Linked DNA regions of Saccharomyces cerevisiae S288C. Changing the gene in region 1 together with any one later gene gives a genetic interaction. Each region holds a gene or a part of one and is shown in the gene's direction. Other genes may lie near its edges.

Region 1 (3,723 bases):
TTGAAAGATCGTGCAAAGGTTGAAAAATGGAAGTTGCACCGGCCTTATCGACTACTCAGTCGGACGTGGCGTTTCAGAAGGTGGAGACACATGAAATTGACAGGTCTTCATACTTGGGGCCATGTTATAATAGCGATGAGCTTATGCAACTTATCTCGGCTTATTACAATGTCGAGCCTCTCGTGGGTTATCTGGAACAGCACCCGGAGTACCAAAACGTGACCTTGCAGTTTCCTGACGATTTAATCAAGGACTCCTCGTTGATAGTAAGGCTGCTGCAATCGAAATTTCCCCATGGGAAGATAAAGTTTTGGGTTTTAGCTGACACAGCGTACAGTGCATGCTGTGTAGACGAGGTCGCTGCTGAACACGTACATGCAGAAGTCGTGGTACATTTTGGTGACGCATGTTTGAACGCCATCCAAAACTTGCCCGTGGTTTACTCATTCGGAACTCCATTTTTGGATTTGGCACTGGTGGTGGAGAACTTTCAGAGGGCATTCCCAGACTTATCCTCCAAAATTTGTTTGATGGCAAACGCACCCTTCTCTAAGCATTTGTCACAGCTGTACAATATTTTGAAGGGCGACCTGCACTACACAAATATCATATATTCCCAAGTGAACACCTCTGCGGTAGAAGAAAAATTCGTAACCATACTTGACACCTTTCACGTTCCCGAAGACGTAGACCAGGTGGGTGTGTTCGAAAAAAATAGCGTGCTGTTTGGTCAGCACGACAAAGCAGACAACATCTCGCCCGAGGACTATCATCTTTTCCATTTGACCACCCCACAGGATCCGAGATTACTGTATTTGTCTACTGTGTTTCAATCTGTTCATATTTTCGATCCGGCTTTACCTGGCATGGTAACGGGGCCATTTCCCTCTCTAATGAGGCGTTACAAGTACATGCATGTGGCAAGAACAGCGGGATGTATAGGTATTCTGGTCAACACGCTGTCGCTACGTAATACAAGAGAAACTATCAACGAGCTGGTCAAGCTTATCAAAACTCGTGAGAAAAAACACTATTTATTTGTTGTCGGAAAGCCAAATGTGGCCAAGCTAGCAAACTTTGAAGATATTGATATTTGGTGCATTCTCGGTTGTAGCCAAAGCGGTATCATCGTTGATCAATTCAACGAGTTTTACAAGCCCATTATTACACCTTATGAATTAAACTTGGCCTTGAGCGAAGAGGTCACATGGACCGGGAAATGGGTTGTGGACTTCAGAGACGCCATTGATGAAATCGAGCAGAATTTGGGCGGACAAGATACCATCTCTGCCAGCACAACTTCCGATGAACCGGAGTTTGATGTAGTTAGGGGAAGATATACTAGCACATCAAGACCACTGCGAGCGCTAACGCACCTGGAGTTAGAGGCGGCCGACGACGACGATTCCAAACAACTGACTACAAGACATACCGCCTCAGGTGCCGTCATTAAAGGTACTGTATCCACTTCAGCATCAGCACTGCAGAATCGTTCGTGGAAAGGTCTAGGAAGCGATTTCGACTCTACTGAGGTTGATAATACTGGAGCGGATATCGAAGAAGGTATTTCCGGTGTCGCACGTGGTTATGGATTTGATCGCGAAGACGCTATGAAAAAGGAAAACAAATGACTCTTATAATTTGTTTCCCTCGACTTCTCTATTTAAATCCAAGATTTTAACTAATAAACTATTTAATAATAAAACAATTAACTCTTTATATGGAAGCCTTGGAAATTAGCCGCCAAAATGGGATATACATTCCGTGCGAAGTGACCGCGTGGAAGGCCGGGTATCATCTTAAAAATCACTAGTTTCTTTTTTAGCGGAATGCAATAAAGGTGCTTTGTGCTGGTGTGGTTTACACGGAACATCTAGTAGCTAAAACTTGGTAACTCAATGGTGATCAGAATCCATAGAAGCATTTTTATTTCTTAAAATGGGTGCTGCTCCTTCCAAAATTGTGGATGGTCTTTTAGAAGATACAAATTGTATGTACACTTCGGAGTGAGGAAAAGAAAGAAAGGGGAAATTAACCGATTTTACTAACACTGACACTTTGAACAGTTGATAGAGATGAAATTGAAAGGTTAAGGAAGAGATTCATGAAATTAGATAGAGATAGCTCAGGGTCTATTGATAAAAATGAATTTATGAGCATTCCTGGCGTTTCGTCAAACCCTCTTGCTGGACGTATAATGGAGGTTTTCGATGCTGATAATAGTGGGGACGTGGATTTTCAAGAGTTCATCACAGGATTATCCATTTTCAGTGGGCGTGGGTCCAAGGACGAAAAGTTAAGATTCGCCTTCAAAATCTACGACATTGACAAGGACGGTTTCATATCCAATGGTGAGTTGTTCATCGTGTTGAAGATTATGGTAGGTTCTAATCTGGACGATGAACAGCTGCAACAGATAGTAGATAGGACGATAGTGGAAAACGATAGCGACGGCGACGGACGTTTAAGTTTCGAGGAGTTTAAGAATGCTATCGAAACCACAGAAGTGGCCAAGAGTCTGACATTGCAATACGATGTGTAAGACTAGGGGACACTTCATTCATTTATGGTATGCCAATATTTTTAAGAAAAGAAGAATAATACGCGATATTGTTTTTTAAGGAAGGAACGCACACTCGCCCAGTTAGAGTGCTGATGATATATACATATATATATGTATATGTAACAAACAATAAGAAAGCAATGATACAACATAGAGATGAGAGAGAGCATATATGTCAGCGACGAGATATACCAAGATGGAAGCTGATCTCATGTAATAACTGCGGGGTGTACTTTGATAATTTTTGGGATTCCATTGTTATTAATAGCTTTGATATCAGACATACAGAATACCAGAGATTTTCCTCAAAAATATGGCAATGCACAAAGGGGGATCAATAGTTATATAAATTAAGATTATTACTTCTTCTTTGTTTTATGTGTTGTTATTCACTATCCCACTGCATTATCAATCCTTACATATCAGCTTCCGTTAAACCCGATGACTATCTCTCAATCATCATACTATCTTCTTACACCGTATATGATAATTACCAGCAATACTAATGCTAGGAGACAGACCATCTTTGATTCCTATTCCAATAAAGTTAAACTGTGATATTGGTTTATTGGATAAGTTCATATCCTAAAACGTGTTGACAACACTTCGGGAGTTTCCAGTAAGTAAAATTTGTATGGAGGGTTGGCCGAGTGGTCTAAGGCGGCAGACTTAAGATCTGTTGGACGGTTGTCCGCGCGAGTTCGAACCTCGCATCCTTCAGTAATTTTTTTTTTTAATTTATTTTTGTGTTGCAAGCGTTGATCCTTTCCATTATGCAGCCATAAGAGGAGGCTGGATATGAATTATTTATTACCAATATAAGGAGCATGTACCGTTGATTTTGAAGAGCCAATTGCTCCAAATTTTGGATTTTGTGTTCGAAAAAGGGAAGATTGCTCCAAACGCAAATAAGGAGGAAACCCGCTGATTGCACTCTTGGAAAAATAAAAATAAAAAGTGGTCTCAGAATTGTTTCAAAAGTGGCACTGACACAATATTTACAGGCGTTGATAGCTTCTTGTTTTAACAATACGATTTAATCTCGGAGTAGTTAAGCCAAAGAATACGTGTTATCCGTAAGAGGCTTATTGCACGTAATCCCCAGTATAAATTATCCGCAAATCGAAGACAAATGTTTAAGAAATACAAAAATCAAGACT
Region 2 (4,879 bases), on another chromosome or scaffold:
AAGGAATATCGTTGGAAGGATTGGCACTTTTATCAGCGTAATCTTTGTTGACGGTGTATTTTATGCAATTCTGCTCGTCAATTGGAGCTCCAATACCCTGGGGAAAAGGAGGCTTGGGTGAATCTACAGATAGATTATCCCATGGGAAATAATCTTTTAATGGCAGGCCACCACCCAAAAAGATAATGTTAGGATCTTGGAAAAGATGGATGCAGGTTTTCAATGGGGATGGTTTACGAGCATTGGTTTCATCCGAAAACAAGTAAGAAAAGTCTTTTGATTCAGGTAAAGTCATGATAGTAACGATCGGTTGTCCTATTCAATGTCTGTATCAACTGCAGGGTTTAACTTAGTGGAATGGAAAAATAAGAAAAAGAAATAAGTTCTTAAAGATATAACCAAACCAAATATATAGTCTAGAGATGTGTATAGGAGGGTCTACAAGATAAGAAAAAAGATTGCGATACACATATCTTCAAATGAAATGCGCTTAATATTAGTCATAGATTGGACCTCGAGAAAGTGAAAAAGTGCAGAGTGAAAAATGTGATAAAAAAAGGAAAAAAAGACATCTAAGGTAACCCGGATGTTCTTCATTATTCCGGCGCAATTTAGTACTGTTCTTCTATCAATGGCAATTCAGAAGCCAGATTCTTGAATGAGGTGAAGGAGAACAATGGTTATAGGTTAATTAAGAGATTTTTGGATGGTGTATATGAGCCATGTTTAATCTTGGAAAAATAGTGAACCGGGAAAAAAATAAAGAAGAACTCCTCATAGGGGGCTCGAACCCCTGACATTTCGGTATCCTTGCTTAAGCAAATGCGCTTAAAAGCCGAACGCTCTACCAACTGAGCTAACAAGGATGAGTTCTTCGGATTTCTTCGATAATAGTTTTAGTTAAATATACATTATGTTCACATAATGCTATTATTTAATGCACATGTTAATGGACGGTAAACTACTTATCATTTATTGCAACAAATGAAAAGACACCACCCTAACAGCACGAAAAATGATGTTAATGTCTTGTATAGTATTGTCGGATAACTAACTCTCGTCTCAACAAAGCTTAAATAAGAGCTGAGAGATTGGTGAATTTTAAGATGATTGTAGGCATTTCATTGTTGATCAAGGCTACAATATTATGTATACAGAATATACTAAAAGTTCTCCTCGAGGGTAGAGGAATCCTCAAAGGGGAAGCGATATTTCTACATAATATTATTACGATTATTCCTCATTCCGTTTTATATGTTTCATTATCCTATTACATTATCAATCCTTGCACTTCAGCTTCCTCTAACTTCGATGACAGTTTCTCATACCTTATGTCATCGTCTAACACCGTATATGATAATATACTGGTAGTGTGACTACTAGTTTATAGACGATAGTTGATTTTTATTCCAACAGGATCATTTTGTTAGGTGAGGAATTGCGAGCTTTTTGGCTATAACTTTCAAGTTTTGTCACCAACATTTATATTTGCTTACTGCAGCCCGGAACCGAAAAACAATGTGGAAAAAGAAAAAAAAGTGGAATATTTTGATAATATAGGAAACATTAAGAAAAGCGATTTCTTATCATTGTCTTCAACTCCCATCTATTTGAAAAAGCTTGCTGAAGCATACTTTGGTTAAAGAGTACCTTGGCTATAGAATACCGTAGAGATAAAGACCTGAATAGATGTTTTACAATAGGTGGCTCGGAACGTGGCTAGCCATGTCTGCTTTAATAAGGATCTCAGTATCCCTTCCGTCATCTGAGGAGTACAAAGTGGCATATGAGCTGTTGCCAGGGTTATCTGAAGTGCCAGACCCTTCAAATATTCCACAGATGCATGCTGGCCATATTCCTTTACGTTCCGAAGATGCGGATGAACAGGATAGCTCTGACTTGGAGTACTTTTTTTGGAAGTTTACCAATAACGACTCTAATGGCAATGTCGACCGTCCCTTAATTATATGGTTAAATGGTGGACCCGGTTGCTCTTCCATGGATGGTGCCTTGGTCGAATCCGGCCCTTTTAGGGTGAATTCAGACGGTAAACTTTATCTAAATGAAGGGTCCTGGATATCCAAAGGCGATCTTTTATTTATCGACCAACCTACTGGTACTGGGTTTTCTGTCGAACAAAATAAAGACGAAGGTAAAATCGACAAAAACAAATTTGACGAAGACCTAGAAGATGTGACCAAGCATTTTATGGATTTTCTGGAGAACTATTTCAAGATTTTTCCAGAAGACCTCACTAGGAAAATCATACTATCGGGTGAAAGTTACGCTGGCCAATACATACCATTCTTTGCCAATGCAATTTTGAACCATAACAAATTTTCAAAGATCGACGGGGATACATACGACTTGAAGGCGCTATTGATTGGTAACGGTTGGATTGACCCCAATACACAGTCCCTATCGTACCTTCCGTTTGCTATGGAGAAGAAACTGATTGATGAAAGCAACCCCAATTTCAAACACTTAACGAACGCACACGAGAATTGCCAGAATCTGATAAACTCTGCCAGTACAGATGAGGCAGCCCATTTTTCGTATCAGGAATGTGAGAATATTTTAAACCTTCTATTGTCTTATACCAGGGAATCTTCGCAAAAGGGAACAGCGGATTGCTTGAACATGTATAACTTCAATTTAAAAGATAGTTATCCATCTTGTGGTATGAATTGGCCGAAAGATATTTCCTTTGTCAGTAAATTCTTCAGCACACCTGGTGTTATTGATTCGTTGCATCTTGATTCTGATAAAATTGATCATTGGAAGGAATGCACTAATAGCGTTGGAACTAAATTGTCTAATCCTATTTCAAAGCCATCTATCCATTTATTACCTGGTCTACTTGAAAGTGGAATAGAGATTGTCTTGTTCAATGGTGACAAAGACTTGATTTGTAATAACAAGGGCGTATTAGATACTATAGACAATCTAAAATGGGGTGGAATAAAGGGATTTAGCGACGATGCTGTTTCGTTCGATTGGATCCATAAATCGAAGAGTACAGACGACAGCGAAGAATTTAGCGGATACGTGAAGTATGATAGAAATTTGACGTTTGTTAGCGTTTATAATGCTTCTCACATGGTACCCTTCGATAAAAGTTTAGTGAGTAGAGGCATTGTCGATATTTACTCGAACGATGTTATGATCATTGACAACAATGGGAAAAATGTTATGATTACTACTGACGACGATAGTGATCAAGATGCTACTACTGAAAGCGGTGATAAGCCAAAAGAAAACCTCGAAGAGGAAGAACAGGAAGCGCAGAATGAGGAAGGAAAGGAAAAAGAAGGCAATAAAGATAAAGATGGCGATGATGATAACGACAATGATGACGACGATGAAGACGATCACAACTCCGAGGGCGACGACGATGATGACGATGACGATGATGAAGACGATAATAATGAAAAACAAAGTAATCAAGGCCTCGAGGATAGTAGACATAAATCTTCAGAATATGAACAAGAAGAGGAAGAGGTAGAAGAATTTGCAGAAGAGATTTCAATGTATAAACACAAAGCGGTAGTAGTTACCATCGTTACATTTTTGATAGTGGTTTTAGGAGTTTATGCGTATGATAGAAGAGTGAGGAGAAAAGCGCGTCACACAATTTTAGTTGATCCAAATAATAGACAACATGACAGTCCCAATAAGACAGTTTCATGGGCAGATGATCTGGAAAGCGGACTCGGGGCAGAAGATGATTTAGAACAAGATGAGCAGTTAGAAGGCGGAGCACCCATAAGTAGCACTTCTAACAAAGCAGGATCTAAATTGAAAACTAAGAAAAAGAAGAAGTATACTAGCCTTCCGAACACTGAAATCGATGAATCTTTTGAGATGACTGATTTTTAACTTGGCAAATAAAAATATATAAAAAATACAGAAAAATAGTTATAATACCTCGCACACGCTTTTCGTAGTAACAGCGACATAAAGATAAATTCTTTAAAGGGTACAATCCATCAAGAACTGACTGTTTTATTTAATTCACACTACTGAACTTCATATTAAAGTGTCGTCATTTAAGTCTAGTAGGTTATATTAATCGCGCACAATAGTTTTTTTTTATGCAAACTGTATCACGAATATTTTTTCAGTTTTCGGACCATTTTTTGACATTTTTAACCAGTTTTTAACATTTTTATGGTAGCGTTCTTTTATTTTTCACGTAATTGCATTGAAATAGACATAAACGTATAAAATAATATACAAGTAATTAGAGCTTTTGAACGAGATTGTTTAGTGGTTGTTTTAACTCCTTCACAGAAGTTGAAAACTTCAACGCATTCATAGCCCCACATATCAACACAAATCCCTGGAAATGAATGGAACTGATATCCTTCGTTTTTTGCAATCTTCCCCCACCATTAGTTACAGCAAACATTTTATACTTATAACAGCATGCCCTCTGTTTGTATTAGGACTATTATTGTTAGGTCTTAGAACAGCAATGTTCAAACAAGTAAGAGGTAAAACGACAACAAGTAGAAATAGAGGTGTCATTGCGGCAAAGTTATTAGTTGCATGGTATCTTGCCACCATAGTTATGTATATTGCTAAAAGCGAAATGTGGAAATATGCCTTTGCTGTTTCGCTACTTCTTAATAGTTTGGCACTATTTTTTTGAAAAAATGGAATCGATATTTCTGCATATTAATATCACCATCATTTCTCCTCCCTTATATGTTCCATTACCCTATTACATTATAAATCCTTGTATTTCTGCTTCCTCTACCTTCGATGAAAGCTTCTCATACCTTATGTCATCTTCTAACACCGTATATGATAATATATTGGTAGTGTGACTACTAGTTGATAAACTGTTGGAATAAAAATCAACTATCATCTACTA
Region 3 (3,930 bases), on another chromosome or scaffold:
CTTTTGTATTTCGTACTCAAAAGCCACATCTTCATCATTTCTTATGTTCTCATCGACGTTTGTTATTACTCCTTTCATTGCGATGTATGCTGACATAGGATATATGGACACAATAAGTTTTGCGGTACTGAAGGATAGTTGAGTCCAATATGGAGGCCTGATTATTTCCTTTTTTTCTATCTATTTCCTTTTGTATTATTTTGACTGAAAAGCTTGCCAGCGTCTTTACTAAAATCTTTCATATGTTCGGACCGCTATAGTAAACTGAAACTTGATATTCAATAATTATCAATCTTCGAAGCTAAAGAAATACAAAATCTTTATTCGAAAAAGTAAGTAACATAATCAACCGCTGATTAGCACAATATGAGGATACAGTCGCTTTTTGTTTTATTTAATGTTGCCATCATCGCATGGTCATATCCATATGAGCCTTTAAGGGTTTTACAAGTAGGAGAGAATGAGGTAATGGAGGTTCCCGAATCAGAAAAGCTAAACTTACGAAGAAGAGGTGTCAAATTCTTTGATGTGACCAAACACACTTCTTTCTTACCTTTCTTTAACAAGGAGGAAGAGCCAACAGTACCAACGTATAACTATCCTCCTGAGATATCGAACAAAGAAGTAGTGGATGATTCGATTAAGAATATAGACAAGGGCTCTATGCACAAGAACTTGGCAAAGTTTACAAGTTTTTACACCCGTTACTACAAGTCCGATCACGGCTTTGAATCTGCCGAGTGGTTAGCTGCAACTATCGCTAATATTACAAAAGATATTCCGCAAGATACGTTGACTATTGAACATTTTGATCACAAAGAATGGAAGCAATATTCAATTATAGTCCGTGTCACGGGATCTACTACGCCAGAAGATATTATAATAATTGGTTCTCATCAAGATTCTATCAATCTGCTACTGCCATCCATAATGGCAGCTCCAGGTGCGGACGACAATGGGTCAGGCACGGTGACTAATATGGAGGCTCTCAGATTATATACGGAAAATTTTTTGAAGAGAGGATTTAGACCTAACAACACTGTGGAATTTCACTTTTATTCCGCCGAAGAGGGGGGATTGTTGGGTTCTCTTGATGTTTTTACAGCTTATGCCAAACAGAAAAAGCATGTGAGAGCGATGCTTCAGCAAGACATGACGGGATATGTTTCTGATCCAGAAGATGAACATGTGGGGATTGTCACCGACTACACTACTCCCGCATTAACTGATTTTATAAAACTAATTATCAACTCTTATCTATCCATTCCTTACAGGGATACACAATGTGGCTATGCTTGTAGCGATCATGGGAGTGCCACCAGAAACGGATTTCCAGGCTCCTTCGTGATTGAAAGTGAGTTCAAAAAGACTAACAAGTATATTCACAGCACCATGGATACTTTGGACAGATTAAGTCTCGCTCATATGGCGGAACACACAAAAATTGTATTAGGGGTAATCATTGAACTCGGGTCATGGTCCGCTTGGTAAAAGTCAGTAATATGCATACATAACTAATGATGCCTTACCTTGGTGTTCTTTTGTAATATACCTAAACCGATATCACGCTAGTATTTATTTCCCGAATTTTTTTGGCGTATTTCGTCATCTGAAAATAACATAATCAATGAAAGAAATAGAGTCAGTTGCAAAAAGTGCAAGCCAGCGCTAACCGCTCCCGATTTAGTCGCAATATTGATGGCAAACAGTACCAAAAACTGGTTACCCATATAAATTGTTTGGCATTGTTATTATTGTTATAAATTATTATTGTTATTATTATAAATTATTATTAGTATTATACAAAGTTTTCAATTCTGCAACAAGTTGGGCCGCAAAATATGGAGAAAAGCGAAAGTAATTCTGAAGGACTTTATCTCCAAAATATATTAAATGTTCCCCCTCCGCAGCGATTTATTGTGCTCATAATACTTGCCCTTTGGATCTGGACATGGATATTAAAATTCTTCTTGCATAGTAATTTAGACGTATCCCAAGTCATACTCACGAGAGTACCGCACGATATACGTCCAGGTTATACTCTACAGCAATTGCATAGAACAGCTAGAAATTTTGCTTTGAAGATAACAAGGATTATTATACCGTTCCACTTTGCCACTGTGTTCCTTTTTGAGTTCATGAATATTATAGAAGGTCCACTCAAAAATATCATTCTCATCGTATATTTTCTACCATTGATCCAATGTGTCACTATATTTTGGTTTCTGTTGAAAGAGTGCCAGATAATAAAATATTGTACTAGGAGATGTTTGTTGATAGAATCCTCCCCCCGTTCCTTAAGGAATACCTACATTTTAATCTCTGACACGTTGACATCGTTTGCAAAACCATTGATAGACTTCACATTGTTTACCTCTCTAATTTTTAGAGAACCCTTCACACATTTTGATCTATCCGTAGCCCTTCTTCCTGTACTGGTAAGACTACTGCAGTGTTTGAGAGAATACCGTTTACTGCACGAAGCAACTTTACTATTCAATGCATTGAAATACAGTTGTAATCTTCCCATTCTTTTTTGCACCTGGAGATCAAGAGTGTATGAGGGATCCATCAACGAAGAAAGACTACACCACGTTCAAAGATGGTTTATGCTAATTAATTCTTCCTATACGTTATTTTGGGATGTAAGGATGGATTGGTCATTGGACTCGTTAACCTCTTTAAGATCCAGATCCAAAAGTGCCGTCACATTAAAGAAAAAAATGTATCATTCGGCGATTCTCGTTGACTTTTTGCTGAGGTTCTGGTGGCTATGGGTATATTTATCGCAGAATCTGAAATTAGTTGCCGCAGATAGCGACTACATTTTTTTCCAAGGCGAAATGCAGTATTTCGAAGTAATTAGAAGAGGCATATGGGTCGTTTTCAAATTGGACGCAGAGTATTATATTAAGTTTGCAAGCAAATAATTTGTTGGGCAAGCCATATAAAATCATGCAAATGCTGTAAATATTTGTTCTATTTTCCCCGTAGAATGGTTTATTCGATATATTACATATAATAAACGAAAAATACATATGCACAGTATATACTTTTCCAAAAAAAAATCAAACACTGTTTGAGCGTCAAGAAACCCCAGGCGGTGCCCGACGATAATGCGACTGCATTATCTCCTACGCTTGTTGTCGTTTGCCTTTCTTTGGTTTATTCTTCGTTCATTTTTGGTCAAATATCTGAACTTTTTTACTCTTGGCTTCTTCTTTTGTTTCTCATCCACGCCCAGAAACTTCGCGTATTTGGTGGCTCTATTTATGCTTTGTTTGAGTACTTTTTCTGCCTTTTCTAATTTGACATTATTTAGCTGGGCTAAATATTCAAAGTTATCATTGGGTTCCAATGTCTCCAATTCAACAGTAGTTGAGTCATCGTATATTTCCGTGATTGCTCCTTTCTTCAAAATAGGCTTTACGCTACTTTCATTATTGTCGTTATCGCCGTCATCTTTATCAGAATCAAACCCGTGCCAGGATTCATCAGATTCTACCTGCAAATCCTCCGTCTTATCATTTTTCGCATCCTCTATCTCAGCTTCCAAGTTTAAACTCTCTTTAAACGTCTTTAACTGTTCTTCCATCACCTCCTTACGTTCCTGCCGAATCTTCTGTCTTTCTTCAATTTTTCTAAGCCTTTCCTGCTCCTTAATAAACTCTTGTGCTTTCTTTTGTCTTTGAAGCTTTCTCTTGTGAAAGCCAGTCAGATAATCCAAACGAGAATCCTTGTCGAACGTCACCTCATCGGTACCGAATTTCTTTGATTGCTTTGTAGCATAGTTTTTGCCTCTTGTAAGGATTTGCCTATTGGTGTGAACAGCCATAGCAAAAATCGAAAACCTTTAATTCACCCCTCTTGATTCGAGCAGCTACCAGGAACTTGAATATTGCAACTCTCTATTTTTTATCTGCTATTATC

The links.
Region 2: mutations in CNB1 (region 1) and KEX1 together harm fitness more than expected from each alone (negative genetic interaction), as found in Saccharomyces cerevisiae (3 studies listed by BioGRID).
Region 3: mutations in CNB1 (region 1) and ERD1 together harm fitness more than expected from each alone (negative genetic interaction), as found in Saccharomyces cerevisiae (3 studies listed by BioGRID).

The regions. Positions count from the first base shown.
Region 1 is NC_001143.9:81,009-84,731, forward strand, and holds CNB1 (calcineurin regulatory subunit B), read left to right. Parts: upstream 1-1,938; coding exon 1,939-1,990; intron 1,991-2,066; coding exon 2,067-2,542; downstream 2,543-3,723. Other genes in the region: DPH2 (2-(3-amino-3-carboxypropyl)histidine synthase), read left to right, coding at 27-1,631; HYM1 (Hym1p), read left to right, coding at 3,696-3,723.
Region 2 is NC_001139.9:111,475-116,353, reverse strand, and holds KEX1 (serine-type carboxypeptidase), read left to right. Parts: upstream 1-1,689; coding exon 1,690-3,879; downstream 3,880-4,879. Other genes in the region: ARO8 (bifunctional 2-aminoadipate transaminase/aromatic-amino-acid:2-oxoglutarate transaminase), read right to left, coding at 1-295; YGL204C (uncharacterized protein), read left to right, coding at 4,349-4,654.
Region 3 is NC_001136.10:1,294,598-1,298,527, reverse strand, and holds ERD1 (Erd1p), read left to right. Parts: upstream 1-1,841; coding exon 1,842-2,930; downstream 2,931-3,930. Other genes in the region: mRNA splicing protein SYF1, read right to left, coding at 1-96; YDR415C (putative aminopeptidase), read left to right, coding at 367-1,491; rRNA-processing protein RRP17, read right to left, coding at 3,128-3,835. UniProt on the Saccharomyces cerevisiae protein: Required for the retention of luminal endoplasmic reticulum proteins, affects glycoprotein processing in the Golgi apparatus.